Linked DNA regions of Macaca mulatta. The protein of the gene in region 1 interacts with the protein of each later gene in a pairwise test. Links are inferred from orthologs where the notes say so. Each region holds a gene or a part of one and is shown in the gene's direction. Other genes may lie near its edges.

What was found. The genes of interacting proteins can lie anywhere in the genome.
Region 2: the proteins of MAPK8IP3 (region 1) and KLC1 interact in binary tests that used the Homo sapiens proteins (3 or more experiments, as listed by UniProt). The link is inferred for Macaca mulatta from reciprocal best matches to the Homo sapiens genes MAPK8IP3 and KLC1.

The regions. Positions count from the first base shown.
Region 1 is NC_133425.1:2,986,162-2,989,661, forward strand, and holds part of MAPK8IP3 (C-Jun-amino-terminal kinase-interacting protein 3), read left to right. Parts: intron 1-770; coding exon 771-901; intron 902-1,095; coding exon 1,096-1,152; intron 1,153-1,255; coding exon 1,256-1,426; intron 1,427-2,034; coding exon 2,035-2,161; intron 2,162-2,514; coding exon 2,515-2,610; intron 2,611-2,700; coding exon 2,701-2,859; intron 2,860-3,500.
Region 2 is NC_133412.1:177,048,710-177,052,846, forward strand, and holds the start of KLC1 (kinesin light chain 1), read left to right. Parts: upstream 1-1,337; 5' UTR 1,338-1,632; intron 1,633-4,137. UniProt on the Homo sapiens protein: Kinesin is a microtubule-associated force-producing protein that may play a role in organelle transport. The light chain may function in coupling of cargo to the heavy chain or in the modulation of its ATPase activity.

The DNA.
Region 1 (3,500 bases):
CTTCCTCACTCCCTGGCAGCTCTGCTGAGCAGCCCTGGGTAGGGGAGCAGACCACAGACCCCACGTGGGTCTGTCAGAACCCAAAGTGTTCAGCCGGCTGGACCCTTCCTAGAGCGTCCCATCTACTCATTTCACACTGGAGCAGTCCCACCTGCACCTCACCTGAGGCATTTGGGGCCTCCACGGACATGCAGGGAAAGTCACCCACATCGTGCCTCTCACGCGTGTCCTGGCAGCCCTGGCAGGGTCAGGCTGACTCCAGGTTCCCCTCCCCCCTTGCTGACACCCCTCAGGCTTCTTGCCTGAGGATCTGCAGGAAATTGGTACTGAGGCCAGGCGCGGTGGCTCAAGCCTGTAATCCCAGCACTTTGGGAGGCCGAGGCGGGCGGATCACAAGGTCAGGAGATCGAGACCATCCTGGCTAACACGGTGAAACCCCGTCTCTACTAAAAAATACAAAAAAACTAGCCGGGCGAGGTGGCGGGCGCCTGTAGTCCCAGCTACTCGGGAGGCTGAGGCAGGAGAATGGCGTGAACCCGGGAGGCAGAGGCTGCAGTGAGCTGAGATCCGGCCACTGCACTCCAGCCTGGGTGACAGAGCAAGAGTCCGTCTCAAAAAAAAAAAAAAAAAAAAAAAAAGAAATTGGTACTGAGATCCACCTATACCTGGAGGCCACGACCCTGCCCCGGTGGAGGCACCCCAGGAGGAAGCAGGTGTGACCCGGCCTCCAAGGCTGGCTGATTGAGCCTCTGTGCCTCTCCCCTCCACAGGACAAAATCCCCATGGCCCAGCGCCGCCGCTTCACGCGGGTAGAGATGGCCCGTGTGCTCATGGAGCGGAACCAGTACAAGGAGCGGCTGATGGAGCTGCAGGAGGCTGTGCGGTGGACCGAGATGATCAGGTGGGAGTTGCGGCCACCCCAGGAAGGGCTGTGGGGTCATCCCTGATGGCAGAACTGCGGCTCCCTCCTCTGCACCTCCCTGTCTTCTGGGGGGACTGAAGGGTGCTGGGTGCTTCCTGGTGGGAGCCCAGAGAGTACCAGGCAAGGGAGGCGTGAGGGTGCTAGCAGGCTGCTCCCTATGCCCTCCCCCGCAGAGCATCCCGAGAGCACCCATCCGTCCAGGAGAAGAAGAAGTCCACCATCTGGCAGTTGTAAGCTGGGGGCCCCAGGGGGTGTGGGCAGCAGCTGCAGGGGAAGGGGCAGGGAAGTTCCCTGGTCCTCTGCCCACCCCTCACCTCCCTGTGCCTCCGGCAGCTTCAGCCGCCTCTTCAGCTCCTCCTCCAGCCCCCCTCCGGCCAAGCGCCCCTACCCCTCGGTGAATATCCACTACAAGTCGCCTACCACGGCCGGCTTCAGCCAGCGCCGCAGCCATGCCATGTGCCCGATCTCGGCGGGCAGCCGGCCCCTGGAATTCTTCCCTGATGAGTGAGTGTCCCATGGTCCCCACTAGTGGCCTGCAGTGGGGTTGGGGAGGCCCTGTCCTGAGGCCCCTCCCCTCCAGGACCTGAAGCGGGACTTTGAGGGCAGCCTCCACCTTGCTGGCCACATGCCAGGGGTCGTGACCTCTCCCTGCACACTGCCTGCCCCTCCCTGCAGCGGGGAGCTGGGCTGCTTTGGCTCCGAAGTGTTTGGTTCAGGATGTCCCTTGGCAGAGGCTGTGCACACCAACAGTCAGGGGGCTGCGCTGGGCTCCACGGTGGCCTCTGCAGCAAGGAGCCACTTCAGACGTATGTGCAGTGGCCGCGCCTGTGCCCTGGCGGCACTCCAGGTCCTGGTCTGTGGAGCCCTCCGTGACTATGGCCAAAGAGCAGCCTCTGGGTTGAGCAGGTGCCAGCTGTGGCCTGCAAGCCCAGGGGCATACCCGGTGCTGGGAAGGCCACCCTCCCTAGCTAGGCACTCGGTGGCCGGGAAAAGGCGAGGATGGGCCTCCCTGCCGTGACCTCCCCCAGGGCAAGCCTGGGGCACTGTGGGTGCCTGCTGCTCGGCTGCCGCTCACCCTGGACAGAGACATCACCCATCATTCTTCCACTCAGCGACTGCACGTCCTCCGCCCGTCGAGAGCAGAAGCGCGAGCAGTACCGCCAGGTGCGTGAGCACGTGCGTAACGACGACGGCCGACTTCAGGCCTGCGGCTGGAGCCTGCCCGCCAAGTACAAGCAGGTGCGGGCGGGGCGCTTCGGGGACAGGGCGGGGCCCCGCGGGGGCGGGGCGTGAGTAAGGGGCGGAGCGTGAGTAAGGGGCGGGGGGGAGGGCGGGGCAGTGCCGGGTGTGGGAGGGGACGACGGGCGGGGAGGGGACGACGGGCGGGGAGGGGCGGGGCCTGGCAGGTCCTAGTAAGCCCCCTGGGCAGGGGTCTGGAGGGTCGGAGGAGGAGCCCTGCGGCTCCCACGCCCCCACCTGCCTCCAGTCTTGAGGTGGCTCTGCCGCAAGAAGCTGGCAGCTCGGCCTAAGGTTTCTGGAGGGATGGGTAGGAGCCATGGCTGGTGCCCATAGCGCCTCCCTGCTCCCTGCAGCTGAGTCCCAACGGGGGCCAGGAGGACACGCGGATGAAGAACGTGCCGGTGCCCGTGTACTGCCGCCCTCTGGTGGAGAAGGACCCCACCATGAAGGTGAGCGGGCGAGGACCCCGTTCAGGCCGGCTGGGCAGGCGGGAGGCTGGGGAGCGCCGGTGACACCCGACCCCGGCCCTGCCCTTGCAGCTGTGGTGTGCTGCGGGCGTCAACCTGAGCGGATGGAAGCCCAATGAGGACGACGGTGGGAATGGAGTCAAGCCAGCGCCAGGCCGCGACCCCCTGACCTGCGACCGCGAAGGAGACGGTGAGCCCAAGAGCGCCCACGGGTCTCCCGAGAAGAAGAAGGTGAGTATGGCGGAGGCCACCGGGCACCCTCCCTGGCTGAGTCTCAGGACAGCTCAGCTGCAGAGCATGCTGGGAGTGAGACACAGGACAGCACCCGGAAGCAGGGCGGCACAGGGGCTCCTGGACTGCGGGAAGCAGTGTCTTCCCTCCCCAGGACTGAGCCGCCTTCTGGGTTTTCAGTAGGAATCTTGGCCCACGTGGCTGTGAATGGGGCTGCAGCTGGGGCGGCCCTCCCCTCCCCTCTCCGAGTGCCATCCAGCAGTGTCCGTCCCCTGGCTGGGAATGGGGCTGGGGTGGGCCCTCTTCCCCTCCCCCTCCCCTCCTCTCCTCCCCCTCCCCTCCTCTCCCTTTCCCTCTCCCCGACCCCCCAAGTGGCCTGGAGTGGCAGAGCTTGCTTCCAAGTGGTCGGAGGCTTAGTTTTATGGCCCGCTTGGGCCTCTTGGAGCTCAGCGGCTTCCTCTGTGGAGACGAAACCATGTATGCAAGCGCTTTAGAGTGCAGTCCTGAGTCCGCATTGCTCTGGCCCCGGGAAAGGACAGCCATGTCCTCTCAAGCTACAGTTAAGGCTGGATCCTGACAGATTCTGGGAGTCCCATGGCCCTGTGCTCCTGCCGGGTAGCCTCAAGCTCGGGCTCTGACCT
Region 2 (4,137 bases), on another chromosome or scaffold:
CTACAGGCGCCCGCCACCACGCCCGGCTAGTTTTTTGTATTTTTAGTAGAGACGGGGTTTCACCATGTTAGCCAGGATAGTCTCGATCTCCTGACCTCGTGATCCACCCGCCTCGGCCTCCCAAAGTGCTGGGATTACAGGCTTGAGCCACCGCGCCCGGCCAGCCCACCTTTGTCTTTATAAATGAGATAAAAGTAACCAGACCTCCCTGGGAAAACCGGGATGCAGTTGCTTCTCTGGTGACTGCGGGGCATAACTGCAGGGTTCACACAGGGCTGCTGGTGCTGGGTGGTAACATCGGAAAGGAACAGCAGTTCACAAGATGGGGTTCGGGGACTGGCCCAGGAACCCCTCCAGGTTAAACGATGCCTCCGGGCCCCGCATTTGGGACGTCTGCAGGCACTGGGAGGGCTTATCCCAAGCCGCTGGCAGCAGCGAGTGGAGCCTCGCCCACTGAATCAGCATGCCCTCCCGGCTGGCTGCTGAGTCAGGCCTGCGGAGCCGGCGAAGCCGCAGGACTTGACCCAGGCCCGCTCCGTTGCCCTTCAGGCCGGGCTGGAGGTCGAGGCCCTGCAGCCAGGGAGATGCGCCGGTGGCTGCGTGGGGTCAGAGAGTGGATGTCTCCCACCCTCACAGCCTACACCCCGGCCCTTCCCCTTTGCCCGTCTGAGGCGCAGTTTGTGTCGAGGGGGAGCGCCTGGAAAGTCTCCTCGTACAGATACGAGGGTCCAAAAGCCCCGAGGAGAGGGAGGCGCAGGGTTAGGGATCAGGGTCTCGACCAAAGGCTGTCGGTTTTCCTGGAGAAGGGAGAAAGGCCTGGCCGGGATCCTGTGATTCCGGGGGCTCCCAAAGGCTTCCTAATGGGGTTTTGGGGGGACCGAAATGAGCGCACGAAGCTCGCGGGCCTCCGAGTGGGGCGGGGCGGGAGCCCAGTGGTGGCGGCTGCGGCCAGGCCTGCACCTTCCCCGGCCGCATTTCGGTAGTGCCCACAGCCCGGCTGGAGGGGAAGGTGCCGAAGCGCTCGGTCATCGCGGCTGTGAGGTCGGAGAGGCCAGGGCCTGGCCGCCCACCCCGCGAGCCGCGCCCTGCCCCAAGCGCCCCGCCCCCGTCCGTGTTCCAGCCGGGAGGCCCGCGGCGTCCTGCACCGTCACCCTGTTCCCTGTGACCGCCCTCCTGATACCCAAACAGCTTCCTCGCCCCTCCAGTCCCCAGCTCGCCGAGCGCTTGCTGAGAGCCACCCAGCCTCAGTTTCCCCAGCCCCGGGCGGCGCGAGAGGCGATGACGTCATGCCGGCGCGCGGCATTGTGGGGCGGGGCGAGGCGGGGCGCCGCGGGAGCAACACTGAGACGCCATTTTCGGCGGCGGGAGAGGCGCAGGCGGCCGAGCGGGACTGGCTGGGTCGGCTCCGCTGCCGCTGCGAGGAGGAGCCGCGGGGCTGTGCTCGGCGGCCAAGGGGACAGCGCGCGGGCGGCTGAGGATGCTACGGGGCGGCGGCGCCCCTCGCTCGTGACTGCTGCGCCGCGCCTCACACAGCCGAGGCGGGCTCGGCGCGCGGTCGCTGCTCCGCGCGCGCGCCCGGCGGCGCTCCTGGTGCTGACAGCGCGAGACAGCGCGGCCCTCAGGAGCTGGACGGTGAGTCCCCGGCGTGCGCCCCGGACCGCGGCCCCGGCCCCCTCCTCATCCTCCGCCCCGGCCCTGTCTCGCTCCTTTTCGGACCTGCCCCGGGCGCAACTCCGTCTGCATCCAGGTCCCTGTCCCGGTTTGGGTCCCAGACCCTGTCGGTTCCCACCCCGGTACCCGCCCCAGTTCACCGCCCCGGCCGGTCCGCGACCCCTTGCAGGTTCAGGTCGGGTTCCTGTCCCCGGCCCCTTTCCCAGCCCCAGCTCCCGGCGCCGTGCGTCCTCCCCATCCGCGTCCCACTGCAGGTTCCGGTCCTCGACCCTGCCCAGGGCCCCGCCCTGGTCCCGCATCCGCGGCTCGGCCCAGCTGCGGGCGGCGGCGGCCTTTCCCGGGGACAGCTGTGGACCCCGGGAGCCCGCGACAGGGGAGGTGGCCGCCCCCGGGATCGCGGCGGGCGGGGAGGCCGGAGGCCCGGCGGGGCTGGCTTTGTCCGATTCCTCCTCTTCCTTCCACCCCCGCCTCTCCCGGCACCGCCCTGAGCGGACGCGCCTGTCATCCTCGCGGGCGGCGGGGGGCCGGGTCCCTCCCGAGAGCCGACTCCGCTTCGCCTCTTTGGCGACCCGTTTTTTTCGGTAACCAGATGTGAAACGTTTCAGGCGACCCTGTTCACCTAAGCTGGCGTTGCTCCAACTAAAGTTGAAGCAGCCCCCGTCCTGGAATGCTTTTTCGATGTAAAATTGGGTGCACCCTTTTCCCTAGGAAAATTAAAATAAAGCGTTAAAAAAGTGAAATTAATGCGTGATGGAGTGGATGGTTTTATACTTAATATTTGTAGGTCGTTTCTAGGTATATTTGTATTGGAATTGTTGCTGCCTGTTACTTTTTATTATTTCAATGCATTAAGAATTTACATATTAAGCATTTATAAAGGAATACTTACAAAAATGATGCTTCTAAAAAATGTGAGAACAAAAAATTTGAGATATACTATTTCAGGTGTTCTGTAAAAGGGCAGTTAGAGCTTTGATTCTTTGCATTAGTTAAATTCCAAGGCCTTTTTTTTTTGGTATGGCATGACTAAGCCATTGATCAGAATCAGCTCGGAATACATTGCACTAGTTTAGTGAAAAACGCATTAGGAAACTGGAACGACCTCCTTAAGTTATATTACAGCCATGGCCTTGCTTCTTTCAGGTATTGCCAACAAGCCTGTTATGGTGAGAAATTTGACCTATTGCTCTGTTTCCTAAATATTTGTAGGAATACAATGATACCAAGTATGAAGTGTATTTCAACTTGTATGGAATTCTGTGTGGGAGGGTAGGCACTCTAAAGAGCCAGTGTCTCTCCAAGTCATCAAAGAATGCAACATCATGTTGCGGTTGAGCCTGGCAGCCCTGTCTGGCACTGAGTGCTGTGGAGGACCCAGGTGGTAACCTCTAACCCTACTGCAGCCTTGCGCACCTCACCTTGCCTAGCATTGTCTTAGAAAAGCATCCAGACGTGCACAGGAGTCTGTGTACTGGACAGCGTTTATCTCCAGCAAAGGGGAAGGGAATGACACTGGGGAGAGGCACACAGTGTCTTAAATATTTCATAACAAATAACTGCACTCATTTAAATTTTATACTTTTTTTTTTTTTTTTTTTTGAGATGGAGTCTTGCTCTGTTGCCCAGGCTGGAGTGCAGTGGTGCGATCTCTGCTCATGGCAAGCTCCGCCTCCCGGGTTCACGCCATTCTCCTGCCTCAGCCTCCCCAGTAGCTGGGACTCCAGGCGCCCGCCACCACGCCCAGCTAATTTTTTGTGTTTTTAGTAGAGACGGTGTTTCACCGTGTTAGCTAGGATGTTCTCGATCTCCTGACTTCATGATTTGCCCACCTTGACCTCCCAAAGGGCTGGGATTAACAGGCGTGAGCCACTGCGCCTGGCCCAAATTTATACATTTTTAAAATTTATACATTCTTAAGCATGTTTCTCAGTGTTGGAAAAAAGTCAATGTGTAACTCTGTATAGGGCCATAAACTATTTTAAAACATACTTGTATAAAAAGAAACCTAGAATAGAAAAATCAAAAGTTGAGTGAAATGTAGGATTAGTATCGCCTGAAAATGTTCTTCGTAGATAAGTGGAATGTTAGAAACCAGTATTTTATTTTTATTTATTTATTTGTTTAGAGATGAGTCTTGCTCTGTCGCTTAGACTGGAGTTCAGTGGTATGATCTCGGCTCCCTGCAACCTCTGCTTCCCAGGTTCAAGAAGTTCTCCTGCCTCAGCCTCCCTAGTAGCTGAGATTACAGGCGCCCACTACTACACCAGGCTAATTTTTTGTATTTTTAGTAGAGACGGGGTTTCACCACGTTGGCCAGGCTGGTCTCCAACTCCTAACCTCAGGTGATCCACCCGCCTCAGCCTCCCAAAATGCTAGGATTACAGGTGTGAGCCATTGCACCTGGGCCGAAACCAGTATTTTATGTAGCAAAGAAATGATCAGTAATATATTCAAACGAGAGTAATA